Macaca mulatta: one gene and its partners. Each later gene encodes a partner of the first gene's protein in a complex. Links are inferred from orthologs where the notes say so. Each region holds a gene or a part of one and is shown in the gene's direction. Other genes may lie near its edges.

Region 1 (3,219 bases):
CCTTTAATCAATGAGATTCTTAAAAAGTGAAAAGGAAGGGCTACAGATTCTCAGTAACTAAAACAATCTCATGTGCCCTTGAGGAGAAAGTCCTTGATGTTTTTAAGAATGTCACTTTATTTATTTATTTTTTTAACTGAATGATACAGAGGTATACAATTTTCAAACTGCCATTTTAGGCAGGAAATTTGAAAATTGAAATGTTTTTGTCAAGCATTACCAAATGGCACAGATTGTGATAGGTCAGCCTGGTTTTGGGGTCCTTTCTCTACTGGTTGATATGCATAAAACCTTTTAAAAATCAAGAATATTACCAGAGAGCAACAGGAATAAACAAGCTAAGTAAAGAAGAAAAAAGAAAAATAGAAAAAAATAAACATGAAGAACAAAGCCCCACCACTGTCCTGTGCTGTTTGTGTGGCCCCACTGCACCGAGGCCGCAGGCTAGCTGCTAGACGCATCTAGAGTTCCCTGATTCCTAAAATTATTTATCTTAAATCCCATTTGGCCTAACTTTCTTAAGGCATCAGCTTTGAGTTATAAATGTAACCAACACACAAGCAAATATGCCATTGACTTAGTGCTGCATAACTGTGGGACGGTCACTTCCGTTGAGCCTGACCTTGTAGAGAGACACAAATAGTTGGCAAATTAATGTGAACGCTGTGAACACCCCATGTGCCTTTCTTTTTCTCCCAGCTTCCTGGACAAGATCGATGTGATCAAGCAGGCTGACTATGTGCCGAGCGACCAGGTGTGCAAAACCCTTCACCACCAGAGGACCCTGAGCCCTCTTCCCAAACTACCCCAGACTTTTGCTTTAGATTGGAAATTATTACTATTTCGATTGGCTTTGCTGAGATCCATTGACCTCAATTTTGTTCTAGGACCTGCTTCGCTGCCGCGTCCTGACTTCTGGAATCTTCGAGACCAAGTTCCAGGTGGACAAAGTCAACTTCCAGTAAGCCCACTGTTACCTTTTTATATAACAGAGATCATGGTTTCTTGACATTTACCCCAGCCCCTCTGGAATAACCAGCTGTCTTCCTCTCCACCAGCATGTTTGACGTGGGTGGCCAGCGCGATGAACGCCGCAAGTGGATCCAGTGCTTCAATGGTAGGACGCTGTGGGCTTGGCTGTTCGTGAAGAACGCTTTGCTTCTGTGTTGTTAGGGATCAGTGTCGCTGCTCACGCTCTTGGCTTTGCTTTCTTTGGTTAAGATGTGACTGCCATCATCTTCGTGGTGGCCAGCAGCAGCTACAACATGGTCATCCGGGAGGACAACCAGACCAACCGCCTGCAGGAGGCTCTGAACCTCTTCAAGAGCATCTGGAACAACAGGTTTGTGGAGTGACCGCCCACCCCCTGCGCTTGCCCAGGAGGCCCTGGTCTGCACTGTTTGTAGAAAAGAACCCTGTGCAAGCATTCCAGACCCCTGGCCAAAAGCGCGCTTCTCCCGGGCATTCACACGGCCTCCCTTCTTGTAGATGGCTGCGCACCATCTCTGTGATTCTGTTCCTCAACAAGCAAGATCTGCTCGCTGAGAAAGTCCTTGCTGGGAAATCGAAGATTGAGGACTACTTTCCAGAATTTGCTCGCTACACTACTCCTGAGGATGGTGTGTATGGCTTCCACTCTTTTGCTGGCTGTTCATTGCAGTGGTTCTTTTTCAAACAGTAGGGCTGAAAGCCGCCATCCCCCTCCCACCACCAAACCATAAAGCATCTGTAAGAGAAGCAAGAAAAACACACTTGCATTAATTCTCATATGGAAAAATCAGGGTTTTGAAGACTTCAGGAGCTACAATGATGCTAGCACCCCAGCTCTGCTTGACTTTTTAATTACATTAATATATATTCCCTTTTTTTTATAGCTACTCCCGAGCCCGGAGAGGACCCACGCGTGACCCGGGCCAAGTACTTCATTCGAGATGAGTTTCTGGTGAGTTGAGCCTGTCTTTAGTTTCCTCTCTTGCTCCTCCTCTTTTTCTCATGGATGTAAATTTACTTCAGGGGTTCAGCTACCCAGGTCCATGGTTTTAGTTCACGCACATCCAGTGTGGATTTGAGTTCTTTGCACCCCTCCTTTTGCTTTCGTTTTCATATGACATCAGAGACTGGCCAACAGCCGTCCCTGGTAGGTGTCCCCATCAGTGATAGGGTGGTTCCTGGCGAGGGTGTCACTGACGAGTCCCTGCGTTTGTACCCGCAGAGGATCAGCACTGCCAGTGGAGATGGGCGTCACTACTGCTACCCTCACTTCACCTGCGCTGTGGACACTGAGAACATCCGCCGTGTGTTCAACGACTGCCGTGACATCATTCAGCGCATGCACCTTCGTCAGTACGAGCTGCTCTAAGAAGGGAACCCCCAAATTTAATTAAAGCCTTAAGCACAATTAATTAAAAGTGAAACGTAATTGTACAAGCAGTTAATCACCCACCATAGGGCATGATTAACAAAGCAACCTTTCCCTTCCCCCAAGTGATTTTGCGAAACCCCCTTTTCCCTTCAGCTTGCTTAGATGTTCCAAATTTAGAAAGCTTAAGGCGGCCTACAGAAAAAGGAGAAAAGGCCACAGAAGTTCCCTCTGACTTTCAATAAAAATAAATAAAACAACAGCAGCAAACAAACAAAATGAAATAAAAGAAACAAATGAAATAAATATTGTGTTGTGCAGCATTAAAAAAAATCAAAATAAAAATTAAATGTGAGCAAAGAATGATGGGACTCCCGTGAGTTATTTGTGGTTCTGCGCAGATTCCTGTCATTCATGGTTTGACTTGGCCCTTACATCAAAAGTTGGGAGGCCCCAAGGTGAAGTGGGTATAAAATCTCACCACTGTATGTTTTCTGGTGACTGTAAAATGTAGGTGTCTTGAAATAATTTTCAGACAATAGGAAAAGTCCACTCCTGTTGATCTCCCAAACTTTTACCCCATAGTGGACCACTATGCCCCAGTCACCTCTACATTTTGATCACTGCCATCCTATCCAAAGATTCTGCCAACTTATGCCATTACATCATCACACAGTTTGCCTGCTGACCCAGGCTTCCTAAGAAAAGTAGTGTATTTTTTGCTATAAGATAGGGACTAAATGATGTGGAGAAATACAGGAGCGCCGCGTTTCAAATCAATGGGGTTATTCAAGAAATGGTGTAGCCATTTGGGGAAAATTTAGACTGGATCCCTACCTCATTGCACACACCAAAATGAA
Region 2 (3,782 bases), on another chromosome or scaffold:
CTTCAGGCTTTCGAAGGAAGCTAAAACATATAATAATATGTTTCAGAGCAATTCAGAGCAAAAGAGGGCACTAAAACCAATTTTTAAAGAAAATAGGAAGGAGACAAAACTCAATGCTACCTTTTCTTTTAATAACTGTCTTCCTCTTTCTAGAAGAAGTTGTACTTCCTCAATACTTGCTTTATTTCTGCATAAGGGTTTCTAGACGGCACTCTAAAACATTTGCCAGAAGGTGGCGACATAAACCCTTATTGCTTAGAGCTGTCCCAGGTGCTGAACCCAGTTTCTGGAATAGGAGAGGCTAGCCGGCTAGCGAACAGGGATTCCACCAAGTTTCCCCCAGAGGTTTGCAGGCTCTGGTAGGAAGTGCAAACGGCCATATAAAATGCCAGGCTTCTCTTAAAACACATATGCAAAATATTTCCATCCCTGAATTTGCTAGCCACAAAGTGACAGTGTCACTGAAATTACAAGTGTAGTGGTGATGGAAAAGTGTGTGTGTGTGTTTAGAATATATATCACATTGAGTTTTGTTCTTCATTTCGAGTTGCAGTTGTTTACCTCTCCTTGTCCTTTGACACGTCCTTTATAATTTCGTTCTCTCCTAGTTCCCCAAGGTTAAAAAAAAATGTCACAGGCAATATCCTCCCCGAAGGAATCCGGTCTGACTGTTAGATGATAACGGAGGTAGCGTTTTTGTTGTTGTTTGTTTGTTTGTTTGTTTTGAGACAGAGTCTCGCTCTGTCGCCCAGGCTGGAGTGCAGTGGCGCGAGAACGGAGGGAGGTAACTTTTTAAAAACGAGACACACTCCGTCTTCTTCCTTCAATTAGCAATTATTGGGAGACTGACCCAGGACTGTTCACCTTCCCATTCAGGCTCCCTGTGCTTCCTTTACTCATCTCCTATTGCCACTCAGGGATGCTGACACGATTTAAGAATTTGAGAGAGAATATGAGGCAATGAGTAGTCGGAATTCCCTCCCCTCGAATACCCCCTCCCCAGTTTGACTGGATTGGAGGAGGAGTTTATCTGTTATAACCTTGGTCTGACCGACAGGGATCCGGTGTGTGTAAGTGAGTTCTGAGTCTCTGTTGACAAAAAGGGACTGGAAAGCAAAGACGCTGAGCTTGAGGGAGAGGAGGGCGGGGACCCAGAGGAAAGAGGCACTCCTCGGGGTTGGGGTTGGGGTTGGGGAGGGTTAGAATGGGAGGGAGGGAGCCTGGCTTTCGAAGCGACTCACAGAGGGATAAATAAAGGGAAGTGAGGAGGAAGAGCGAGACTGAAAGGGAAGGCAAGTGGGGAGAAGGGGGTCGAAAGAGGCAGAAGAGAAAGAGAGAAGAGAGAGGAGGAGAGAGGGGGAGAGAGGGAAGGAAGGAAACAGGGAGAGGAGGGTCACAGAGTGACCGTGGAGGATGGGGCTTCTCCGTTCTAGATATTTCTGGGATTGGAGACTGTTTGCTAGAGGAGAGACTCCAGCTCCTCCGGCAGCCAGTTTGGGAGCGGCAAAGTAAAATGTACAGCGACAGACAGACGTTCCAGCCACCTCTCCGCCGCCCGGAGATCCTGGAGCTGCTTTCAGGCCAACTCCAGTTTCCCAGCTGGTGCCTCTGAACGCGCTGGACTGCGCGAGCCGGGGGAGCGCCTGAAAGCTGCTCCTCAGAGATACCTTCGCCGAAGCAGTAAGAACTTCCTGCTTGGGTGCCTGCATTCCCTTCCTCCGAAACTTCCCAGGAGAAGGGGGCGGGGGGGGAAGACCACAGGGGAAGGGGCGAGGCGGATCTTCGCGCTGCTTTTTCTTCCCTCCCCGTTCCCGCACCGGCGCGCAGGCATGGATGTGCTCAGCCCTGGTCAGGGCAACAACACCACATCACCACCGGGTCCCTTTGAGACCAGCGGCAACACTACTGGTATCTCCGACGTGACCAGCTACCAAGTGATCACCTCTCTGCTGCTGGGCACGCTCATCTTCTGCGCGGTGCTGGGCAATGCGTGCGTGGTGGCTGCCATCGCCTTGGAGCGCTCCCTGCAGAACGTGGCCAATTATCTTATTGGCTCTTTGGCGGTCACCGACCTCATGGTGTCGGTGTTAGTGCTGCCCATGGCCGCGCTGTATCAGGTGCTCAACAAGTGGACACTGGGCCAGGTCACCTGCGACCTGTTCATCGCCCTGGACGTGCTGTGTTGCACCTCGTCCATCCTGCACCTGTGCGCCATCGCGCTGGACAGGTACTGGGCCATCACGGACCCCATCGACTACGTGAACAAGAGGACGCCCCGGCGCGCCGCTGCGCTCATCTCGCTCACTTGGCTTATTGGCTTCCTCATCTCTATCCCGCCCATGCTGGGCTGGCGCACCCCGGAAGACCGCTCGGACCCCGACGCATGCACCATTAGCAAGGACCACGGCTACACTATTTACTCCACTTTCGGAGCTTTCTACATCCCGCTGCTGCTCATGCTGGTTCTCTATGGGCGCATATTCCGAGCTGCGCGCTTCCGCATCCGCAAGACGGTCAAAAAGGTGGAGAAGACCGGAGCCGACACCCGTCATGGAGCATCTCCCACCCCGCAGCCCAAGAAGAGCGTGAATGGAGAGTCGGGGGGCAGGAACTGGAGGCTGGGCGTGGAGAGCAAGGCAGGGGGTGCTCTGTGCGCCAATGGCGCGGTGAGGCAAGGCGACGATGGCGCCGCCCTAGAGGTGATCGAGGTGCACCGAGTGGGCAACTCCAAAGAGCACTTGCCTCTGCCCAGCGAGGCTGGTTCTACCCCTTGTGCCTCCGCCTCTTTCGAGAGGAAAAATGAGCGCAACGCCGATGCCAAGCGCAAGATGGCCCTGGCCCGAGAGAGGAAGACAGTGAAGACGCTGGGCATCATCATGGGCACCTTCATCCTCTGCTGGCTTCCTTTCTTCATCGTGGCTCTTGTTCTGCCCTTCTGCGAGAGCAGCTGCCACATGCCAACGCTGTTGGGCGCCATAATCAATTGGCTGGGTTACTCCAACTCTCTGCTTAATCCGGTCATTTACGCATACTTCAACAAGGACTTTCAAAACGCGTTTAAGAAGATCATTAAGTGTAAGTTCTGCCGCCAGTGATGACGGAGGAGTAGCCGGCCAGTCGGGGCTACAGGATCTGCCCCATTCACTATGCTTCCCCCAACCCTAGGGAATCAACACTTAAGATAATTTGCCACTTCTTCTCTGTCTCTCTGCTCCGCCCGCGGCTTGCGGACCTGGTCCCCTCCCCACTTCCCGCTCCAGCGCAGGGCGCTTTGTGCAAAGGAGACCCAGCGTCGGGGCGTGAGAGCCCAGAAAATTCAGTTTGTGAGAAGCGACATTGGCTCAGACTTTGCCTTTAGCATCAGTTTTGATCCCAGCAATTGCCTCTTCTCTCTTCTACCCCCTAAATCTTTGCGGTAGATGTTTAATCCTTAGTTGTTCAAGGCAGAAAATCCAAAAACTAAAAAATAAATAAACTGTACACACAGCCGCCGCGCCCACTAAGGAGCTCCACCCTATCACCCAACTTCTAGAACTTGGACTTGAGGTTCGGGAATTTGCTCCATCTCTCCCGCCCTCTGGCACTTGAAATATTCACCTTTTCCTCCCTATTTTTATCTTTTATTTTCTTTCATTGCTTCCCTCTCTGCCCTCGCCCATCCTTATGCACGAATCTGCTGGTCCAGAGAGGCGGAAGAGGCTGATTTCCCAGTGCCAGCGGTGCCCCTGGGATTCCCTGTCTTCGCGCAGACTTGAGATTAACTCTCTCGTGCAGTGCACAAC
Region 3 (4,179 bases), on another chromosome or scaffold:
TGGATTCTATCCTGCCAGCCTTGCAATATTTCAAACTCTAGGATTTAAACTCATCTTGATACTTTAGAGGTATTTTAAAATAAGACTAACTTGCAACCTACCTAATGGCCCCTGTGTTAATTGAGCAGTTGCTCAAAATAGAATACAGAAATAGAAGAGGCATTTTTTAACATATGGCTGCTACATAACTGCAAATGTAATAAACAAGGTAATTTTCCACTTTCAGAAGATATAGTTGAAGTAATGATTTAATGTGTTAATCATCTACCAAAAATAGAAAAGGTATAGCAAAATAGAATATGAAGCCTATTAGAAATACCTAAGTAATAAATAATGGCAACATTTCTGGTCAAATAAGCTCAGAGTGTATTGAAAAGTTTTATTATTGTCTAACTTTACATTTATATAGATATGTGAGATATGGGTGTACAGTTGCAAAGGTGAAAAGTAACTGTGAGTTACATATTTTATTTTCATGCTCCATTATAAGGAATGTGGTATATCAAATAACAAATGTTATTTTAAGTTATAGATGCCAAATTAATATCAAAAATGATTTCATTTTGAAAAGGAAGAGGTATAAGTTACATTGCTGTTAGTACCACCAGTAACTGTAATGAACTAAAACTGCTTTCATCTAAATGCTTTAAAAATGCATGCAGAATTAAAACTTCAGAAGTTTATTATATTTTGCCAGGTGTTAATTCATTAATTCATTGTATATTATCTTTTCTATTGGAAAATACTTTTTTCTCATGAGAGTTATACGGCAATCTGTAGTCTGTTACCTCTGTTCTGCCCATGTAGAGATGAATCTTCAAATTAACTTTGATAGAGTTGTTTTTCTTAGATTTTAGAAAAATGAGAAATAGATGATAAATTTGACCCCCCAACATCAATCCCTGAACTAAGCCCAAAGACACTCTTTTCCACAATGAACTTTTTCTCAGCTTTTCAACCAAATTTGAGGTCTTAATTATTTAAAATCTAAAATACAAATGCATTTTTCATCATAGATAAAGCAGGAAGCCTGAGACGGTTTAAGAGTTTTCCTTTCTCATTCTTTCTAGTTGCTCCCTAAGAAACTGCCTCTCTTGGAGAACAGCCCACAGAAGCTTTTCTTCCTTTGGCAATTCATTTTTTTTTCTTTTTACAGATTTAATTTTTCATAGTGCAAGATAATAAGTCTATTTTCTCTAGAAGTACCTTATGCCTGCAAAAAGTTCTTTGAGGGCAAAGGAAACTAATTAGTGACCTCTTTTCACCTCCTTTCTAGCTTACCCCCTTCTCTCCCTTCTCTCCACCCCCCACCCCCCCACCCCCCGCCCGAAAGCTGAGGTGTGTCACTGCTGAACTGAGGCTGATGAAGAGACTTGAGCACTCTCTGGGACTCTCAGCTGTGACAGAAGCACTGACATTGTCTACTGAAGCAGGTTCTGAAACACTCGTGTGCGGTGTTTAACAGATGCTGGACAGGGCACCTGCTTGCAGTGGCCAAGTCTGCATTCCAAGCCATGAATGAATCCAGGTGGACTGAATGGAGGATCCTGAACATGAGCAGTGGCATTGTGAATGTGTCCGAGCATCACTCCTGCCCACTTGGATTTGGCCACTACAGTGTGGTGGATGTCTGCATCTTCGAGACAGTGGTTATTGTGTTGCTGACATTTCTGATCATTGCTGGGAATCTAACAGTTATCTTTGTCTTTCATTGTGCTCCACTGTTACATCATTATACTACCAGCTATTTCATTCAGACGATGGCATATGCTGATCTTTTCGTTGGAGTTAGCTGCTTGGTTCCTACTCTCTCACTTCTCCACTACTCCACAGGTGTCCACGAGTCATTGACTTGCCAGGTTTTTGGATATATCATCTCAGTTCTAAAAAGTGTTTCTATGGCATGTCTTGCTTGCATCAGTGTGGATCGTTATCTTGCAATAACCAAGCCTCTTTCCTACAATCAACTGGTCACCCCTTGTCGCCTGAGAATTTGCATTATTTTGATCTGGATCTACTCCTGCCTAATTTTCTTGCCTTCCTTTTTTGGCTGGGGGAAACCTGGTTACCACGGTGACATTTTTGAATGGTGTGCCACCTCTTGGCTCACTAGTGCCTATTTTACTGGCTTTATTGTTTGTTTACTTTATGCTCCTGCTGCCTTTGTTGTCTGCTTCACTTACTTCCACATTTTCAAAATTTGCCGTCAGCACACCAAAGAGATAAATGACCGAAGAGCCCGATTCCCTAGCCATGAGGTAGATTCTTCCAGAGAGACTGGACACAGCCCTGACCGTCGCTACGCCATGGTTTTGTTTAGGATAACCAGTGTATTTTATATGCTGTGGCTCCCCTATATAATTTACTTTCTTCTAGAAAGCTCCCGGGTCTTGGATAATCCAACTCTGTCCTTCTTAACAACCTGGCTTGCAATAAGTAATAGTTTTTGTAACTGTGTAATATACAGCCTCTCCAACAGCGTTTTCCGGCTAGGCCTCCGAAGACTGTCTGAGACAATGTGCACATCCTGTATGTGTGTCAAGGATCAGGAAGCACAAGACCCCAAACCTAGGAAACGGGCTAATTCTTGCTCCATTTGAAGAGAGCTACATAGTAAATCAAATGTAATCTGACAGTGGTTTTGGATCATATTCTAGATTCATCTGGAAATTTGCCATCAGAGAAATATTTACTTGAATAGTTGACTATAAAATGAAGTATGAGACTAAAGGTTTCTCTTTTTTTTTCTTTTTCATGGAAGAAACTAAAGGGAAGGATGTATAGAGGGTTATCTCATGAAATAATTACAGCATGTGAGTATTTGTGTGCAGTAATAGGAAAAATTAAGCACTGAGATGAAAAATAATATCTCAAATCTTCTGCAGGACATGAGCAAGCTCCTTGGCTTGGCGTTTCTGTCTTTCTGTCTGACTGTACCATGCCTCTGTCTTTCTCACTTTGTCTGTTTCTCTCACTCTTTGTGGAAGTTATTACTTACATAAATTACCCTTTATAGAAAAATGCTACATATTATATATGTGGCAAATTATAATTTTTGCATCAAAGTGTACCTTTAATCACACTAATCTACAATCCATAAGTGATCTCTTCATGGAGGATGCACAGTAAGCATTGCATTTTATTACTTGCCAAACAACCCCTTTGCTTGTGTTTCTAGAATCTTCTCTGCAGCACAATTTTTCTGCTACAAACAAATAGAAACACTATTTTTGTTTCTTCTGGGTGAAATGACATTTGCTATTCCCCCTTTTCCTAACAGTCTCCTGTTTTTTTTTTTTTTTTTTTTTTGTCTCTTTTTCTTGATCTGCATCCATTGCTACCTTACTTTAGAAGTGTCTTAGCTATTGAAAGAATCTACTGTATAAAGCATCCATAATGTTAAATAATGTATTTCTTCCAGCAAAGCAATCTGGTAGCTTATTAAATATTTTTAATGGCTTTTTGAAACATTTTTATCTGGTTCCTTTTAAATTAGTTCATCTGCTTAAAAGTGATGTCTTTTTTTGCTATAGTAAAGCTTTGTTTTTCTTTAAGAAACCCACTAGTAATTCTAATGCAAATGCAGGATACTCACCTAGCAGTGAGGCATTACTCTTAAGGGTACTTAGAATGCCCTTTTAAAAAATAAGTAAATAAAATAAAACATGAATCTTTTTTGTGTTAGGTCTACGATAGCTTACTGTTGTGTCCACTAGTCAGTCATTTGTGTGATATGCGTTTGCACATATTATATTTTTTACAGCAAAGAAAATGTAAATTATGTTATCTGTGCCTAATGTTTTCTTAGCAAAATATATAGATCAATGTTGTTTAAGTTGTCAACATTGGAAAAAGTATATATAAAAACTTATTTTAAGAGAAAAATACTTTTGTGTAACTGTTATTTAGATATTTATATTAGACAAAGCTGCATTTTTAGTGCTGCTGATAATATAATATACTTAATTATCAAATACAGGTAAGAGCTGACAGTATTTTCTTTTGTAATGATCTGTTTTCAAATGCAGAGATTAACTTATTTTTTTGCGTGCTACATGGGATTGTGTAATAAATTATCAGGGGTTTAGATATAGCAAAGTAGCATTTTGGGGAATTAGTGAAGCAGGTATGAGCAGTAAAACATCTAAATATAACTTTTTTACCATAAGTTTCTTGCCT
Region 4 (3,346 bases), on another chromosome or scaffold:
ATCAGAATTAGGAGGAAATTGTTCTGTTCTCTTCTGTCCAGAACTTGTGATTACTCATGTGTCATAATGGTACAATTTCCTCTGATATACGTGCACAGAGCTATTCAGTTTCACATCATTTGCAGTCACTTGCAGCACACTAGGTCTGCTTTTTCTGGGCTTAATAAAGTGTGCACCTAACCAGACTGTAATATAAAGTTGAATTTTGAGCAAGTGGTTGCTTGTTACCTGTGATGGGATGGTTTCTGGACAGGGCTTCACAACCTAAAATGTAAACAAAATGTGCTGTTTCACTTACCATGAAATTGAAGTAAAATAACAATAATAATTTGTTCGGGGGCTCAATGAAGCACACTTCAAACCACATGGATTTGATCATTCAAAGCAGGATGTTTCATAATTCCCATTTCATTTTTGTTCTTCCCACACATATCTTTAAAGTTAGTTAAGTCCTCCTAGATTTCAGTAGCCTTGAGGCAACTATCCAGTCACCTAAGCTAAACTTTATTTACCTCAGAACAAGGGTCATAGACCCAACTGAGTCAACTTTCTATGGATTTTGATTCTCTGTTCTGGGGCTATATCTGCTGTCTCAGATAATTAAGAGGTGAATAAATGACTCCAGTAAATGGGATTATTTAAAGAGAAGCTGGTTGTCCACTTATTTTTAGACATATAGGAATGATTTTGATCAAATGATGGTTCAAGGACAAATGCTGGGCTCGCTATATCAAAACCAAATGGAGAGCTTTGAAAAGATACAAATGGCATACTGTACCCCACGAGTACTCAATCAGAATCTCTGGAGGAAACACCCAGAAGCTTTTATTTTATTTTTTAACCTTCCCCAGATGATTCAGATAATCAGTAAGATTAGTAAAGCAGTAATCCAAATCATAGTTTCTCAAATGTTAACACGCAGAAGAATCATCTGAGTTCATTGTTAAAACACAGATCTTGAGGCATCAGGTCCAGGGTGACGCTTGAGATTTTGAATTTGTAACAAGCTCCCAAGTGTCATTCGTTCATGTATTTTGATTTATATTACTAATATAAATTAATTTATATTTATATAAATTATATATATATATATTTATATAAAACAAGGGGCTAGATTACTTCTCATGTTCTTTCAAGCTATATTTTTCTGTGATTATAAAGTGCCTTGTAGAAACTGCACCATATACCCTTCCCTTACATAAGAATTTTTCATTCAAACTAGAGTATTTTTCTGAACATAGGCTTTTCTTTTTTTTCAAAGCTGGGCCAGGAAATAATTGACTTATTTTATTTTGCTTGCAGCTCTGCCTTTGTTTCCTACTTTTTAGATTTTGACATATAGCTGAAAAAGTCCCAGAAAGCTGATCTTTCCAAGTTAATCATCCCTGAAGAGTGGCGGATTCATTGTGCACTAAAGCAATCCTTTCTTCTATGTGAGCCAAAAAAAGAAAAACGGCCTGCCAGACACCTGTAAAGAGAAGGCTATCATCATATAGGAATTTGAGGAACTGCTATATGGTACATTCCTTTTCCAAATGGGAGAGAATCAGCTCTCATGATGTCCCAGAGGGCCTTAAAATAAACAAGAGGGAAATTGTAACAGCTTGTCATCTGTGCTTGTACACTAGACTTTCATGTAGTTACTCTAGAGAAATCTAAATAAAAAATGCAGATAGTTCTTTGAAAAATCCTTGAATAATATGTAGAGACTCAGGCTGATGTGGTAAAAAAAAAGGAAGGTTATTTTATACTTGGTATCTCCAACCCACTGGCAAGCAATCTTTTGGAAGGAACAGCAGTTGATTGTGAGTTTAGGTTTTGAACCACCATTAGGCAAAGATAGTTTCTCTAGAGAGAATCATGCCTGCTAATTACACATGTACCGGGCCAGATGGAGACAATACAGATCTTCGTTACTTTATTTATGCAGTGACATACACTGTCATTCTTGTGCCAGGTCTCATAGGGAATATATTAGCCCTGTGGGTATTCTATGGTTATATGAAAGAAACAAAACGAGCTGTGATATTTATGATAAACTTAGCCATTGCTGACTTACTACAAGTTCTTTCCTTGCCACTGAGGATCTTTTACTACTTGAATCATGACTGGCCATTTGGGCCTGGTCTCTGCATGTTCTGTTTCTACCTGAAGTATGTCAACATGTATGCAAGCATCTACTTCTTGGTCTGCATCAGTGTGCGACGATTTTGGTTTCTCATGTATCCCTTTCGCTTCCATGACTGCAAACAGAAATATGACCTGTACATCAGCATTGCTGGCTGGCTGATCATCTGCCTTGCTTGTTTACTCTTCCCACTCCTCAGAACCAGTGATGATACCCCTGGCAATAGGACCAAATGCTTTGTGGATCTTCCTACCAGGAATGTCAACCTGGCCCAGTCCGTTGTTATGATGACCATTGGCGAGTTGATTGGGTTTGTAACTCCGCTTCTGATTGTCCTGTATTGTACCTGGAAGACGGTTTTATCACTGCAAGATAAATATCCCATGGCCCAAGATCTTGGAGAGAAACAGAAAGCCTTGAAGATGATTCTAACCTGTGCGGGGGTATTCCTAATTTGCTTTGCACCTTATCATTTCAGTTTTCCTTTAGATTTCCTGGTGAAGTCCAATGAAATTAAAAGCTGCCTAGCCAGAAGGGTGATTCTAATATTTCATTCTGTGGCATTGTGTCTTGCTAGTCTGAATTCGTGTCTTGACCCAGTCATATACTACTTTTCCACTAATGAGTTCCGAAGACGGCTTTCAAGACAAGATTTGCATGACAGCATCCAACTCCATGCAAAATCCTTTGTGAGTAACCATACAGCTTCCACTGTGACAACTGAATTATGCTAAAAGAAAAACCAAGCTGAATATGACCTGAAATGCAAGTACCTCAGAACATATCTGAAATACCCAAGCCACGGGGAAGAACTCACAAAAAAACACAGCTTTTCAGTTCTGCTCTATTTTACTGCTGTGGGGAATTCACTTCTTCAAAGCAGGACCTATGTGGAGCATTATGATCCACCATTATTGATGTTGACATATCCATGTAGTAATTTTTCATCAAGTCTGTAAATCTTAAAATATCAAATTTCTGTGACATCCTACAAACATATGCTCTCAACTCTAGTCAGTACTTTTACCTGTGACCCTCAGGCACAAAAAGAGTATTAGCTTGGAGTCACCATAAGCATTCAGTTTTGTTACAGCAGATACTGAGTCTTTATATTCAGAGGAGATGTAGGTGTCTTTTTATATTAGTAATCACAGTTTACATGCCTTTTTCGTATGTTTGGTTATATTTTAGTGGGATGGATGATATATTACCCTGTGT
Region 5 (4,234 bases), on another chromosome or scaffold:
TGAGTTTCAGTTCCACTTCACCACTTGCTGCTGGTGATCTGGGGCAAGGCCCTTGGCCTCTCTGAACCTCTCAGCATTATTGTGGGGATGGGAATAAATGACTGGAGGAGTAGGAAAGCCCCTGGGGACATCGCAGGAGCCTTCGATGTGGGAAGTATTATTTTTCTGTTTCTGTGGAGAAAAAATGATCCCACCCTGTTCTCTTTATACTACTTTTTCTTCTTCTTTTTCTTTTCTTTCTTTCCTTCCTTTCTTCCTTCTTTCCTTCTCTCTCTCTCTTTTTTTTTTTTTTGACAGAGTCTTGCTATGTCACTCAGGCTGGAGGACAGTGGCACAGTCTTGGCTCACTGGAACCTCTGCCTCCCGGGTTCAAGCGATTCTCCTGCCTCAGCCTCCTGAATAGCTGGGATTACAGGTGCCCGCCACCACGCCCAGCTAATTTTTATATTTTTGATAGAGACGGGGTTTCACCCTGTTGGTCAGGCTGGTCTCGAACTCCTGACCTCAGGTGATCCGCCCGCCTCAGCCTCCCAAACTGCTGAGATTACAAGCCTGAGCCACCGCGCCCGGCCCACTTTCTATGTTGATTATGCCTATTGTTTATCGTCTGTCTCCTTCCACTAGAATGTAAGCTCCATGGAGGTGCGGATCTTTGTTTTGGCCACTGTAGGGTCCTGATGGGTCAGAACAGTGCCTGACTTCTAGTGGATGCGCCTTAAATATCTGTTCAACGAATGGATGAATAGAGTCCACAGTATTAACCTGCACAGCAGTGTTAGGCAGACTCTTCTCAGCCAGAGGGGAGAGATACAGAGGGAGGTCACAACCAGGGGAAACAACACCCCAGGCCTCTGCCTGCAGAGACTCTAACCCACCTGGCCTGGGGATTCTCAAATCTGTTCACGCTCTGTTAAACTAGGAGCGCCAACAGCTCAGGGACTTCATCCTTAGTACCCGGCCCCTTTGGCGATAGGGATGGTTTCTGCAGGGAAAGGTTAGCTTCTTGATCAAACTAACGATGAAGAATGCCCAGAATTACTAACCCATTTTACAGCTATGGTAACTGAGGCCCAGAGAGGTGTCAGGCGATTTGTCCAATATTTCCCAACTCCTGGTTCCCCTGAAAGCCTGGTGACCCCCTTGTGAGTGGGCAGGCACCCATTAGGGAGCAGTCCCTGGATAAAGGCAGGTCACAGCCCCCTTCTCCGAGTTCCGCCTGCGCCGCCGCCCCGTGTGGGTTGGGAGGGGCATCTGGGAGTGCGGGGGCTGCCGCAGCCCGGAAGGTGACCCCGCGCAGCTGGGGCGCTCGGATCTTCGGCCCACAGGCCCGGGGTGCTGGGACCCCGCCCGCCTGCAGGGCCAGGGCTCGGCTCTCCCCGCCCACCGGGAGGCGGGACGCACGCTCCGCGGCGCGGAGACCGCGCGCTCCGGGCTGCACCCAGCCGCTCCTCCGCGCGTGAGGGCCCCTCGCGGCGCCTCCCGGGTTCGGGAGACCCGGGCCCGCCGCCCGCCCGGCCCGCGGCCGCCTCTTCCTCTCGCAGCCCCGCGGCGCTTGCCGCAGTCGCAGGCGGCGGAGAAGCCAGAGCGCCCCAGGTACCAGTGCGGGCGGGAGGCGGAGGCGACCCTGCGGCCGGGTGGGGAGGGGGCGCCGCGCGGCCGCTGCCCTCCGCTTCCCGCGGGGCCTGGAGGTCCCGGCGAACCCCCGCGCAGTGTGAGCCCGATCCCGGTGCCTCCGCGCCAGCTGAGACCTGCCTTTCCCCGGGGGGCTTTGCTCCGGCCCCTAGGCCCCCGCCCTGCAGACCCCACGCTGGCACCCCACACGCCCACCGGCCGCGGGGAGTCTGCTCCGGCCCGAGAGCGCCCATTCACCCCCCGCGCCCACCTCCTCGCGCTCCCACTTCCCCGAGCTCTGCCCCGGCCGGACGCCCCTACCCTATCTTGCCGCCCGCCCCCTCCAGGACTCTCTGCTCCCACCCCGGGGCGCCCATCCGACATCTGCTTGACTTCCCGCCGCTTCCTTTAGGGGCCTCGGCTCATCGGGTGCCCCTCCCCAAACTTCCAACCCGTTTGCTCCAGGTGTCCTTGCCCCGTTCCCGAGGGCGCCCAAATAGCCACTCTGCGTCCTCTTGTGGTCGCTGCCCCCTGACCTAGCGCGACCCAGTGCCCCCGCCCATGTCTCCCCACTCGCCTCCCCCGGGGGGCGTGGTGAGTCGCTGTCTGCTCTCGCCGACGGTGCCCGTCCAGCCTGCGCTTCGCCGGGGCCCTCACCTGCCTTCCCACCACCCTATCACGCCCTTACCCTCCACCCCCGGTCCCCATGGTCCCAGAGCCGGGCCCCACCGCCAATAGCACCCCGGCCTGGGGGGCGGGGCCGCCGTCGGCCCCGGGGGGCAGCGGCTGGGTGGCGGCCGCGCTGTGCGTGGTCATCGCGCTGACGGTGGCGGCCAACTCGCTGCTGATCGTGCTCATCTGCACTCAGCCCGCGCTGCGCAACACGTCCAACTTCTTCCTGGTGTCGCTCTTCACGTCCGACCTGATGGTGGGGCTGGTGGTGATGCCGCCGGCCATGCTGAACGCGCTATACGGGCGCTGGGTGCTGGCGCGCGGCCTCTGCCTGCTCTGGACCGCCTTCGACGTAATGTGCTGCAGCGCCTCCATCCTCAACCTCTGCCTCATCAGCCTGGACCGCTACCTGCTCATCCTCTCGCCGCTGCGCTACAAGCTGCGCATGACGCCCCCGCGTGCCCTGGCGCTAGTCCTGGGCGCCTGGAGCCTCGCCGCGCTTGCCTCCTTCCTGCCCCTGCTGCTGGGCTGGCACGAGCTGGGCCACGCACGGCCCCCAGTCCCGGGCCAGTGCCGCCTGCTGGCCAGCCTGCCCTTCGTCCTCGTGGCGTCGGGCCTCACCTTCTTCCTGCCCTCCGGTGCCATATGCTTCACCTACTGCAGGATCCTGCTGGCTGCCCGAAAGCAAGCCGTGCAGGTGGCCTCCCTCACCACCGGCATGGCCAGCCAGGCCTCGGAAACACTGCAGGTACCCGGGGTATGCAGGAAGACCTGGGCTGTGGGATGCAGAGGAATGAGCAGCCCCTGGGAACCCCCTGGGCATCCCCACTTAGCACACATTTGCTCATGGCCCTGCGTGGCAGTTGTGAGCACCCACCTTTCTTCTGAACTCCAGACCCAATGCCTGACCCACCCAGCACAGGATAGCTCCGTCAGGATAGGCGGCAGGCTTCTCCCAGGCACTATGTACAACAGGGAATTTATGGTGGCCCAACTCTCCCCATCTTTGCTTCCCTGGTCTTCCCCATCATGGCAAATGGCACCATTTCGGCATCACATGCCAGGAACTTAGAAATACTTTTCTCCTTAACCCTCATGCCATTCATTAGCGAGACCTATTGGTGCTGCCTCTAAACAGGTGCCATCTCCACTGCCACTTCTTACTGGGGAGGCTGCGTAGACTTCTACTGGCTCCACTGCTTCTGCTGCAGACCCACTACTCTCCATCTTCTGCCTAGAAGCCGGAGCAATTAAAAAAGAAGTGATCATGTCGCTCCCCTGCTTCAGACTTCAGGCTCCCCATTGTGCTCCAGATAAAGAAAACCTGTCTCAGGATCTGGCCTCAGGATCCGGCACTGCCAACCTCTCCAGTGTCACCTCCACTCTCCCTCTCTCTTACTCTACAACAGCCTTGTAGCCTTTCTCATGCTTCTAGAAGGCACTGGGCTTACTTCTGTGCCCAGGTCTTTGCACTCGCTGTTCCCTGTGCCTGGAATGTTCTTCCCCCGGCTGCCCTCTTCCCAGGGGACATCTTTGACTACCCTATCTGCAGGCCCATCTACCCTCCCCTGTTATTCTCCATAAGAACAAGTCATAAGAATGACTTGTTCATTCTGCCTCCCTGACTTGAATATAAGCTCCAGGAGGGTCACACATATCAAGGTCAGTTTTTTTGTTTTGTTTTTCTGTTTGTTTTTTTTGAGACGGAGTTTCACTCTGTCGCCCAGGCTGGAGTGCAGTGGTGTGATCTTGGCTCACTGAAACCTCCACCTTGCGGGTTTAAGCTATTCTTCTGCCTCAGCCTCCTGAGTAGCTGGGATTACAGGCACCCACCACCACGCCAGGCTAACTTTTGTATTTTTAGTAGAGACGGGGTTTCACCATATTGGCCAGGCTGGTCTTGAACTCCTGATTCAGGTCAGTTTTGATCCCCACTGTGCATAGTAGGTCC
Region 6 (3,963 bases), on another chromosome or scaffold:
CACTGACACAATGAAATGAAACCCCCAAGAGAAAAGGACCATGATGACCGGCCTCGGTGGCTCAGTCTTATAATCCCAGCACTTTGGGAGGCCAAAGCAGGAGGATGGCTTGAGCCCAGGAGTTTGAGACCAGCCTAGACATAGTGAGACCCCTGTCTGTAGAAAAAAATTGTTTAAAAATTGGCCAGCTGTGGTGGCGCATGCCTGTGGTCCCAGCAACTCAGGAGGCTGAGGTAGGAGGATCACTTGAGCCTGGAAGGTTGAGGCTTCAGGGAACCATGATAGTGCCATTGCATTCCAGACTGGGCAAAAGAAAAAAAGACGTCGGGCACGGTGGCTCACACCTGTAATCCCAACACTTTTTGGAGGCTGAGGTGGGCAGATAGCTTGAGCTTAGGAGTTCGAGACCAGCCTGGCCAACATGGTGAAACCCCATCTCTATTAAAAATACAAAAATTAGCCGGGCATGGTGGTGCACACCTGTAATCCCAGCTACTTGGGAGGCCAAGGCAGGAGACTTGCTTGAACCTGGGAGGTGGAGATTGCAGTGAGACAAGATTGTGCCACTGCACTCCAGTCTGGGCAACAGAGCATGACTCCCTCTCAAAAGAAAGAAAAGAAAGAAAAAAGCAAAGCAAAGCAAAGCAAAGAAGGAAGGAAGCAAGCAGGCACCATGAGTGACCACCTTGTTTCAAAGAGGAAACTGGGGCACGGAGATGTCACTAGCCTAAGGTCTGACCAAGAGGCAGGCTGGAAGTGCAACCCCAGAGCTCCTTCTAGGGGTGGCCCTGACTTTGGAGTTGGGGACCTAACAGAACCCTTTGTTCTCCCCCTCCTACCGGCGGAAGATGCAGAAGGTTAACGGCCAGAAGATGAATGACTGAGGCCTGGGGTCTCTACGGGAGGAAATGGCTCAACTCAGGGAAGGTCAGTAGCGGGGGCCTCCTCTTCCCATAGCTGAGGGCCTGATAAAGTTGGGGGTGTGTGGTTCGAGAGAGGGGACCTTCCAGCTGGGGACTTGGAAGGACTAGTGGGTGTTCCAGCAGCAGATGAGCCTCACCCGGGGCTGGAGGTGTTGAATGGGGTGAAGTCTGAAAGGGGTTAAGGGGCAGCGGCAGTGGTGGGGTTAATGGGGGCGGGCCTGGCCGGGGCGGGGCCTCAGCTGACGGCTCAGGCCCGGGGGCCGGGAGGAGTAGCCGCTGTTCTGCCCCGCGGGGGCATCCGCTGGGTCCCCGCGCCGTCATTCAGACCGGAGACCCGGACGCAGCCGAGAGAGGTGCCGCCGCCCGCCCCGTCCAGTCGCCGCGCGCAGGTGAGTGCCGGGCCCTCCCCGGCCCCCGCGATGCTGCGAGGTCTCACTAGGTTGCCCTGCTCTTGGCGGGACCGCTCCTCCCCGCCCCTTCTGGGGCTGCCTCAGTCTCCCGCGGCGTCTCGGCGCCCGCCCCCTCTGTTGCTCTCCCTGGCTCTGCGTCTGTCTCCAACTCCCGCCTGTGTCTCTGTGTCTGTGGTCCCTCTGCCTCTGGACCTGTCTTTCTTTCTGTGTCTCTGGATGTCTCTGTCAGTTTCTTGATCTCTGCCTCTCCGGTCTCCGTCTGTCTCCGTCTGTCTCTGTCTCTCTGTTTCTGGGTCCCACCTTCCTCTGTCCCTGCCTCTGCCTCTCCCCCATCTGTTGTGGGACCTCTGGGGATGTGTCTGCCTCTATCTCCATCTCTCCCTGTCTCTGTATATCTCTTTGCTCTCTCCCTCCATGTCTCTCCGTCTCTCTCTATTGCCCTGTCTCTGTCTCTCCGTCTCTTATAACCCTGTTTTGGCACCTTCTGCTCTGTCTTCTCTCCTTCCAAATCCTCCGCATCCCGGAACTTTCCTCTGGGCTGGGAAGCTGCTTGGGAGTAGAGGGCAGGAGGCTTGTGACCTGGGGCAGGAGGACTCAAAGTGACACCCTGACCCCAGCGCCCTCTTCCCGGAGCCACCCCACTGCCCCTGAAGTCGCACCCACCCCGCCCGCCAATTTCAGGAATTCCTGGCTGGGGGGTGAACTTCCTCGCCTACTTCCTCTCTTCCAGGATTTGGCTGGGTCACCGTTAACTCTTTCCTGCTTCCGCCTCACTCTCCCCCCGGGGAACTGGACAACCCCTCCTCCCAAACTAGGCTGAGGAACAGCCCTAGAATGTCTGGGAGGCATCGGTTGTGGGATGTGGGTGTGCGCACTCGGGCTGGATGTGCATTGGGGAATTTGGGGCAGAAGTGGAGAAGATGGGGCCACACCCCCCAGTGCCCCCTCCAGAGCCCATCATCAGCACCCCTCCTCCTGAACCCACCAAGGGGGCACCCGCCCCCAGATCTGTCTCTGTAGATGAACTCGACTTCAGGTTTGGGGTGAGGATGAGGAGGTTTTCTTTTCTGGGGGAATCCCAGCTGAAGAGGATAAGAGACCCATGGGGGCCCCCGGAACCCTGGGAATCATATGATCAAGAACCTTGAACGTGAATATCTTTTAATGGAAGGGCCTAGATGGAAGAAGGATCAGAGGGGAGGCCTGGAAATTCCAGATCCTTCCAATGAAAGGTCCTGGGGATACTGGAGTCCTTCAATCCAAAAAGAGGAGTGTTGAAATCTTGGCACATTTCAGTGATGGCAGCTGAGAGTTGGAAAGGGTTTGCAGAGCCACCTAGGCCAACTCCCCCCACCCCATTTTATAGATGGAGAAACTGAGGCCCAAGAGCAGAAGTCCCCACAGTGAGTCAGTGCCAGGCTGGAGGGCTGGGACCCCAGTTTTCAACCGAAGCCCAAATCCAGAGAGCTGGCTGCTTCTTCTACCACTAAGCCGGATTAATTTGGGGAAAGAGGTCTTCTCAATGAGGAGGGAGAGATGCCAGGGTGAGTAGAAATGGCTGGAATCCAGAAGAGAGGGTTTTAGAAGCAGAGGAGAGAAAATATTTCCAAAACCATGGTGGTGGGGAGGGAGAGGGGCAAGAGTTGGTTTGGGTGGAAGGGGTGGAGTTTCGGGAAGAGAAGGAGGGAGGTGGAGGGGAACCGGGATTAACTCCAGCTTCAGTCTCCTGACCCTCCGCCTGGAGCCCACCGTTCCCTCGGGGACAGGGCCTATAATTTGGTTTGTGTCTAGACAAATAATAACTCAGCTGGTGTGAGCGGGGAGGGCTGAGGCTAGGCCCACTAGGGAAAGGGTAGAGAGGAGGCCTGGATATCTCATGTCACCCCCAGGTGGTGAGAATTTAGGAACCAGGTGGAGGTGGTGACTAACATGCCCCTCTCTTCGCTCTGTGAATCCATAGTTTCTTAGAATTCTGCACAATCTTAGAAATCAGGCTGCTGGAATGTTCAAAAGCAGGCGAGAGAAGGGGGGAAAGAAAAGGAAGTGGGGCTCACTGTATTTAGTGTACGTTCCCATTTCTGTAAAAGAGAAAAGGGAAATACGTATTCCTGTTTGCTGGGGAAAGATAAAAATCACTGACGGTTTAATAATAGATTATGAAAGTCATAGAATGCTTAAAAAAATCATAGCATGTTCTAACAATAGAACTTTCGAATCTTGGAATGTGACACTCCTAGAATATTGGAAACTTAGGGTAGGTACTTACAAAGCCACGATGTAATAAATAGAATGAAAGAAGAGTAATGCTCTAGAATGTTATAATAGAACATTCAACTGCGAAGTGAACTAAGGATAGAACCTGAAGATTGCAGAACCGTAGGGACCTAGAACGTCAGAGAGGCAGTCTAAGGACTGGTATCCCTAATGGGCAGTGTGGGCGTGGGGGACACAGAGACCCCCTAGGTTGAAACGGGGATACTGAGGTGCAGTGGGGCGGTTAGGGTGGCCCGATTGCCCCCTGGTTTCCGCCGGCCGCCAGGGCACCAGGTGGGGAGCGAGGACCGGTGATCACATTTCGTCCCTAATGAGCAGACCGGAGCTGGCCGGTCCCCTGGGGCTGCTGGGGGAAG
Region 7 (4,268 bases), on another chromosome or scaffold:
AGGATTCAAATATGTAAAAGTGGAGTGGTTACATTCCTAAATTTATTTTTCACAATATTCACCAGATGTATAATTATTTGTTCAACACTTTTCTTTCCTCTATGTAGTAAGCTCCATGAGGACAAATATCATGCTCCCTTTTTTGGAATGTAGCGCAATTTCTGGCATATGGGAATCACTCAAAAACAAACGTTGCTGCTATTGCCCTGCTGCTGCTGATGATGATGATTTGTATTCTTCGTATCCTAACTTCTTTTCTTTTGTATATCTTTCTCTAATCCTGTTACGATTTGTCTTCTCATTCTATTAATAAAGACATTAATATAAAACTTGATGTTGTACATGAAATCTTGTAAATGGGGGTCCAGATTACCTATTTGTTTGGCAACAACGAATACATACGCATTATAAAAGCTTTGAAGACAAAACATGGCATGAAAAATATCAATGGAATGTAAAGTACGATGTAATTGTAATACATTTCCTAATGTAAAGATGGTACACTTAACTTAATTTTTTAAATTAAGTAAGAAAATGAAGCTATATTATTCACTAATTAACATAACTTGTTTTAAAAAAGCTCTTCTCCAAGACCTATTTAATTGTGCTTCAAAAACAATGTCTTCATTTCAATTAATGGGTTGCTCTTGTTCTTTCTGTTTCTTTTTGATTGATAGGTTCAAGCAATTCTGAGAAGAAACTGGAATCAATACAAAATCCAATTTGGAAACAGCTTTTCCAACTCAGAAGCTCTTCGTAGTGCGTCTTACACAGTGTCAACAATCAGTGACGGTCCAGGTTATAGTCATGACTGTCCTAGTGAACACTTAAATGGGAAAAGCATCCATGATATTGAAAATGTTGTCTTAAAACCAGAAAATTTATATAATTGAAAATAGAAGGATGGTTGTCTGACTGTTTTGTGCCACTCCTAACTCAAGGACTTGGATCCATGACTCTAAAGCCAGAAGACTTCAATATTAAATGGCTTTTTGAATATCATAAAGAAAAGCCTCACATGAAATTGGTAGTGTGTTGATAAGAGTGTAATATCTAGCTGTAAGTGGGAAAAAAGAAATCCTGGTTTGTAATATTTGCCAGTAAATACTCCCACTATGCCTGATGTGACACTACTAACCTGACATCACCAAGTGTGGAATTGGAGAAAAGCACAATCAACTTTTCTGAGCTGGTGTAAGCCAGCTCCAGCACACCATTGCATGAATTCACAAACAAATGACTGTAAAAGTAAATATACATGTTGGGCATGATTCTACCCTTATTGCCCCAAGAGACCTAGTGAAGGCCTATAGACATGAAGGGAAAATTAGCTTTTAGTTTTAAAACTCTTTATCCCATCTTGATTGGGGCAGTTGACATTTTATTTTGCCCAGAGAGTGCTGTAGTCCTTTTTGTAATGACCCTCTCAAATGGACAATACCAGAAGTGAATTATCCCTGCTGGCTTTCTTTTCTCTATGAAAAGCAACTGAGTATAATTGTTACGATCTACTCATTTGCTGACACATCAGTTATATCTTGTGGCATATCCATTGTCGAAATTTGATGAACAGGATGTATAATATGCAATCCTACTTCTATATCATTAAGAAAACATCTTAGTTGATGCTACAGAACACCTTGTCAACTTCTTCCTGTTTTACCACACAGTGGGAGGGAATTCGTACCTGTAAATATACATTTTGTCCCTTCCATTTCTACTGTAGAAACAAATTAGCAATCATTTTATATAAGGAAAATCAATGAAGGATTTCTTATTTTCTTGGAATTTTGTAAAAAGAAATTGTGAGAAATGAGCGTGTAAATACTCCATTATTTTATTTTACAGTCTCAAATCAAATACATACAACCTAGGTAATTTTTAAAGCAAATATATAATGCAACAATGTGTGCATGTTAATATCTGATACTGTATCTGGGCTGATTTTTTAAATAAAATAGAGTCTGGAATTCTATATTTGGTGACTATTTTAAAGACAACCAGATGCCAGCATCAGAAGTCTGAGAACTAAGAGAACAGAAACATCTATCATAAGATATATTTATTTTAAAAACACAAGGTCACTATTTTATTGAATATATTTGTTTTGATGACTCATACCTTAATAATAGGTGTGTTTGACATATTTCTTTTTTCGTTTTGACAATGAACTCACATTCTAATCCAGAAATTTTAAACAACTACTGTGATAAATACCAATCTGCTACTTGTATAGATTTTACCCCATTAAAATATTACTTTACTGACTTTCACTATATGAAGATACATAGCTTTGGAAATGTCCCAGGTTATTCAAGAAATATAAAAAAATAGAGGGACACAATATATATCATATACAATGCTTTAATATTTTAATAGAGCTACTGTATATAATACAAATCAGGGAAATACTTGAATATATCATTGAGAAAAAATTATTGTCAGATCTTATTGAATTATTGTCAGACCTTATTAAATAAAGATAGAAGAAAACCTTGCTAATGAACTAAAGTGAAATTTATATGGGATTCAGTTTCTCTAATGTTATTTTCCACTGAAATCTCTGAAGAACAAGAATGACTTCAATTAGTAAAAGTCAATTTTGGGAAAATCATGTGTATCTCTATTTTAAGTGTGTCAATCTGCTTAAAATGGATGAAACTAATGAATTACTCATCATAAGTTGTTTCTTAAGCTGTCAATAGATGGTGAGTTCAGAACTTATTTGAAATTGCTAAGAAAAATTATCTAAATGAGTAAGAATTAACATATAGAATGGTCTGGTCAGTACATTCATAATTTATGCATGAAAAAGTATTGTTTTGTTTCAAACATGAATTTCATAGCGAGCTGCCATAGAAAGGAATGCAGGCTGTTCTGGACCTTTAACTGCCTACATTATACAAAAATTCATTTCAATAAACTCAATTATTAGCTATTTATTATTCAAAGACCCATATTTAAATCCTTTGCTGACCATGTTGACATATATCAGCCTTCTTCTAGACAAACTGTCAAGTCAACCATCTTGACAGTAGACATTAAAAAATGTTGAATTATCAGAGATTATATTAAAATGAACATGTAATTTTCAAGTATTTTTGTTGTGCTTTCATAATATCAATTCTAGATCAGATTTATTTTATAGCCAGGGTTTATCTGTTGTAAAGTCTTGAGGAGTAGCAGTCATTCATGTTTAATCACTGTTAGTTTTATATTCATATATTTTTAGAATAATTTTAAATGTTAGATTCCTCAAAAGCTGAATGCTACTTAATACCTTTGTACCATACTCATAAAGCAAAGTAAATCTGACACTTTTTTAAAGCAAACTTCTTTGCTGTCAAAAAATAAATTTGGGGAATTTCTAGCTTTTAAAATGTAGATTTGTCATTTTACTGTGATTACTTGTGAAAGTCATATTTTAATTTTCTAAATTGTAATTTGTCATTTTCTTTCCTAAAGTTAATTTCCAATGCATTTATTCATAAAATATTCATTCTTGAATGCAGTGTTTGTTTAAATGTAATCCAATGTACATAGAATTAGTGGTGGCTGTAGTGCTGTATTTATTGCTTATAAATTTTTTAAAATGTGAACTTACTTTTAATTTTCTCTTGATTTTAATCTGCTAGTAGAAACCACTAGTTATCTGTAAAAATATATTCAAGATATTCTGATCAATTGTAACAATTTATGTTATGCCTACTTAGAGTATATCTCTATTTTTGATTGTATGAAAATATTAAAGTTATGAGTTAAAGTTTATTTCCATTGATATTTACTAGAGTGCCAAATAATCTAATTTATAAACATAATTCTTACATTAATCAATGGGATACTTTTCAAAATTAACAAATCTCTTAACAAAATATCTCTTTTGCCTTCCTTAAAGTCTTCAGTAAACCAGTAAATGAATTCAATAAACCAATTAAGAAAAAGTCATGATTTGTTTTCCAAACTAAAAAAATCCAAATATACTACGATGGATGCAAACTCCTTCTTATGCTGAAAGAAGAAAAAGGATGTCTCAAAATAAGAAAATGTTCAGAAATTCATCTCTTTTATCTACTATATTTCATTTTGTAGTTTTGTTTAAATATTAGAAAGAAAAATAAGTATTTAAAGGTAATTTTTAAAGAGGGCATATTTATGGCTCTCACACAAATATAAAATGAAAATGTTTCAAAGATTTTGTTTAACTCATTAATTAATGAAGGAACAAGTAAGATGTTACAACAATTCAAAGGAGAATTCAAAATATCACA

Evidence for each region.
Region 2: the proteins of guanine nucleotide-binding protein G(s) subunit alpha isoforms XLas (region 1) and HTR1A are in contact, whole or in part, in a cryo-EM structure (PDB 9GL2), measured with the Homo sapiens proteins. The link is inferred for Macaca mulatta from reciprocal best matches to the Homo sapiens genes GNAS and HTR1A. Residues at the interface, in NP_000507.1 of Homo sapiens: Ala39, Asp215, Lys216, Val217, Arg342, Arg347, Thr350, Ala351, Gly355, Tyr358, Phe376, Arg380, Asp381, Ile383, Gln384, Arg385, His387, Leu388, Arg389, Gln390, Tyr391, Glu392, Leu393, Leu394; in NP_000515.2 of Homo sapiens: Asn69, Ala71, Asp133, Arg134, Ala137, Ile138, Pro141, Ile142, Tyr144, Val145, Asn146, Arg148, Ile218, Ala222, Arg225, Ile226, Lys228, Thr229, Lys232, Val233, Asn325, Arg327, Asn328, Lys332, Arg339, Lys342, Thr343, Thr346, Leu347, Asn404.
Region 3: the proteins of guanine nucleotide-binding protein G(s) subunit alpha isoforms XLas (region 1) and GPR52 are in contact, whole or in part, in a cryo-EM structure (PDB 8HMP), measured with the Homo sapiens proteins. The link is inferred for Macaca mulatta from reciprocal best matches to the Homo sapiens genes GNAS and GPR52. Residues at the interface, in NP_000507.1 of Homo sapiens: Lys34, Gln35, Arg38, Ala39, His41, Lys216, Val217, Phe219, Tyr318, Pro321, Arg342, Asp343, Leu346, Arg347, Thr350, Ala351, Tyr358, Cys359, Pro361, Phe376, Cys379, Arg380, Asp381, Ile383, Gln384, Arg385, His387, Leu388, Gln390, Tyr391; in NP_005675.3 of Homo sapiens: Tyr74, Arg139, Ala142, Ile143, Thr144, Pro146, Leu147, Asn150, Gln151, Thr154, Pro155, Ile226, Phe227, Ile229, Cys230, His233, Thr234, Glu236, Ile237, Arg240, Arg243, Phe244, Ser246, His247, Tyr263, Ala264, Met265, Phe268, Arg269.
Region 4: the proteins of guanine nucleotide-binding protein G(s) subunit alpha isoforms XLas (region 1) and GPR174 are in contact, whole or in part, in a cryo-EM structure (PDB 8IZB), measured with the Homo sapiens proteins. The link is inferred for Macaca mulatta from reciprocal best matches to the Homo sapiens genes GNAS and GPR174. Residues at the interface, in NP_000507.1 of Homo sapiens: Lys34, Gln35, Arg38, Ala39, His41, Val217, Phe219, Thr350, Asp354, Gly355, Tyr358, Cys359, Tyr360, Phe376, Cys379, Arg380, Asp381, Ile383, Gln384, Arg385, His387, Leu388, Arg389, Gln390, Tyr391, Glu392, Leu393, Leu394; in NP_115942.1 of Homo sapiens: Phe44, Tyr47, Arg53, Ala54, Val55, Ile56, Phe57, Met58, Ile112, Arg115, Arg116, Phe119, Leu120, Met121, Pro123, Phe124, Phe126, His127, Asp128, Cys129, Gln131, Ser211, Leu212, Asp214, Met218, Gln220, Asp221, Leu222, Glu224, Lys225.
Region 5: the proteins of guanine nucleotide-binding protein G(s) subunit alpha isoforms XLas (region 1) and HTR6 are in contact, whole or in part, in a cryo-EM structure (PDB 7YS6), measured with the Homo sapiens proteins. The link is inferred for Macaca mulatta from reciprocal best matches to the Homo sapiens genes GNAS and HTR6. Residues at the interface, in NP_000507.1 of Homo sapiens: Arg38, Ala39, His41, Asp215, Lys216, Val217, Phe219, Leu346, Thr350, Tyr358, Cys359, Phe376, Arg380, Asp381, Ile383, Gln384, Arg385, His387, Leu388, Arg389, Gln390, Tyr391, Glu392, Leu393, Leu394; in NP_000862.1 of Homo sapiens: Arg124, Leu127, Ile128, Pro131, Leu132, Arg133, Lys135, Leu136, Ile211, Gln218, Gln221, Val222, Leu225, Thr226, Lys265, Ala266, Thr269, Leu270, Phe323, Met324, Arg325, Asp326, Lys328.
Region 6: the proteins of guanine nucleotide-binding protein G(s) subunit alpha isoforms XLas (region 1) and GPR4 are in contact, whole or in part, in a cryo-EM structure (PDB 8Z9O), measured with the Homo sapiens proteins. The link is inferred for Macaca mulatta from reciprocal best matches to the Homo sapiens genes GNAS and GPR4. Residues at the interface, in NP_000507.1 of Homo sapiens: Gln31, Lys34, Gln35, Arg38, His41, Asp215, Lys216, Val217, Tyr358, Tyr360, Phe376, Arg380, Asp381, Ile383, Gln384, Arg385, His387, Leu388, Gln390, Tyr391, Glu392, Leu393, Leu394; in NP_005273.1 of Homo sapiens: Gln45, Arg49, Asn50, Leu52, Asp114, Arg115, Ala118, Val119, Ala120, His121, Pro122, Leu123, Arg124, Arg129, Arg130, Lys132, Tyr201, Ile204, Ala207, Val208, Gly210, Ser211, Val212, Ser213, Thr214, Glu218, Lys221, Ile222, Leu225, Asn290.
Region 7: the proteins of guanine nucleotide-binding protein G(s) subunit alpha isoforms XLas (region 1) and CALCRL are in contact, whole or in part, in a cryo-EM structure (PDB 6UUN), measured with the Homo sapiens proteins. The link is inferred for Macaca mulatta from reciprocal best matches to the Homo sapiens genes GNAS and CALCRL. Residues at the interface, in NP_000507.1 of Homo sapiens: Gln35, Arg38, Ala39, His41, Val217, Phe219, Arg356, Tyr358, Phe376, Arg380, Asp381, Ile383, Gln384, Arg385, His387, Leu388, Arg389, Gln390, Tyr391, Glu392, Leu393, Leu394; in NP_001258680.1 of Homo sapiens: Arg173, His177, Tyr236, Leu237, Leu240, Ile241, Val242, Val245, Phe246, Ala247, Lys249, Ile312, Leu316, Lys319, Leu320, Val322, Thr323, Arg336, Ala337, Ile340, Leu341, Phe384, Asn388, Gly389, Glu390.

The regions. Positions count from the first base shown.
Region 1 is NC_133415.1:111,699,117-111,702,335, forward strand, and holds the end of guanine nucleotide-binding protein G(s) subunit alpha isoforms XLas, read left to right. Parts: exon of another isoform or gene 1-699; coding exon 700-754; exon of another isoform or gene 755-887; coding exon 888-961; exon of another isoform or gene 962-1,058; coding exon 1,059-1,117; exon of another isoform or gene 1,118-1,221; coding exon 1,222-1,342; exon of another isoform or gene 1,343-1,488; coding exon 1,489-1,619; exon of another isoform or gene 1,620-1,726; intron 1,727-1,874; coding exon 1,875-1,942; intron 1,943-2,212; coding exon 2,213-2,359; 3' UTR 2,360-2,719; downstream 2,720-3,219. UniProt on the Homo sapiens protein: Guanine nucleotide-binding proteins (G proteins) function as transducers in numerous signaling pathways controlled by G protein-coupled receptors (GPCRs).
Region 2 is NC_133411.1:71,983,567-71,987,348, reverse strand, and holds HTR1A (5-hydroxytryptamine receptor 1A), read left to right. Parts: upstream 1-1,406; 5' UTR 1,407-1,829; coding exon 1,830-3,095; 3' UTR 3,096-3,282; downstream 3,283-3,782. UniProt on the Homo sapiens protein: G-protein coupled receptor for 5-hydroxytryptamine (serotonin). Also functions as a receptor for various drugs and psychoactive substances.
Region 3 is NC_133406.1:31,926,044-31,930,222, forward strand, and holds the start of GPR52 (G-protein coupled receptor 52), read left to right. Parts: upstream 1-1,379; 5' UTR 1,380-1,514; coding exon 1,515-2,600; 3' UTR 2,601-4,179.
Region 4 is NC_133426.1:85,571,488-85,574,833, forward strand, and holds part of GPR174 (putative G-protein coupled receptor 174), read left to right. Parts: intron 1-1,302; 5' UTR 1,303-1,860; coding exon 1,861-2,862; 3' UTR 2,863-3,346. UniProt on the Homo sapiens protein: G-protein-coupled receptor of lysophosphatidylserine (LysoPS) that plays different roles in immune response. Plays a negative role in regulatory T-cell accumulation and homeostasis.
Region 5 is NC_133406.1:221,312,803-221,317,036, reverse strand, and holds the start of HTR6 (5-hydroxytryptamine receptor 6), read left to right. Parts: upstream 1-1,434; 5' UTR 1,435-2,317; coding exon 2,318-3,031; intron 3,032-4,234. UniProt on the Homo sapiens protein: G-protein coupled receptor for 5-hydroxytryptamine (serotonin), a biogenic hormone that functions as a neurotransmitter, a hormone and a mitogen. Also has a high affinity for tricyclic psychotropic drugs.
Region 6 is NC_133424.1:58,136,292-58,140,254, reverse strand, and holds the start of GPR4 (G-prodeshotein coupled receptor 4), read left to right. Parts: upstream 1-1,163; 5' UTR 1,164-1,312; intron 1,313-2,622; exon of another isoform or gene 2,623-2,877; intron 2,878-3,923; exon of another isoform or gene 3,924-3,963. UniProt on the Homo sapiens protein: Proton-sensing G-protein coupled receptor activated by extracellular pH, which is required to monitor pH changes and generate adaptive reactions. Activated by an optimal pH of 6.8-7.2.
Region 7 is NC_133417.1:92,305,398-92,309,665, reverse strand, and holds the end of CALCRL (calcitonin gene-related peptide type 1 receptor), read left to right. Parts: intron 1-107; coding exon of another isoform or gene 108-110; exon of another isoform or gene 111-329; intron 330-677; coding exon 678-893; 3' UTR 894-3,768; downstream 3,769-4,268. UniProt on the Homo sapiens protein: G protein-coupled receptor which specificity is determined by its interaction with receptor-activity-modifying proteins (RAMPs). Together with RAMP1, form the receptor complex for calcitonin-gene-related peptides CALCA/CGRP1 and CALCB/CGRP2.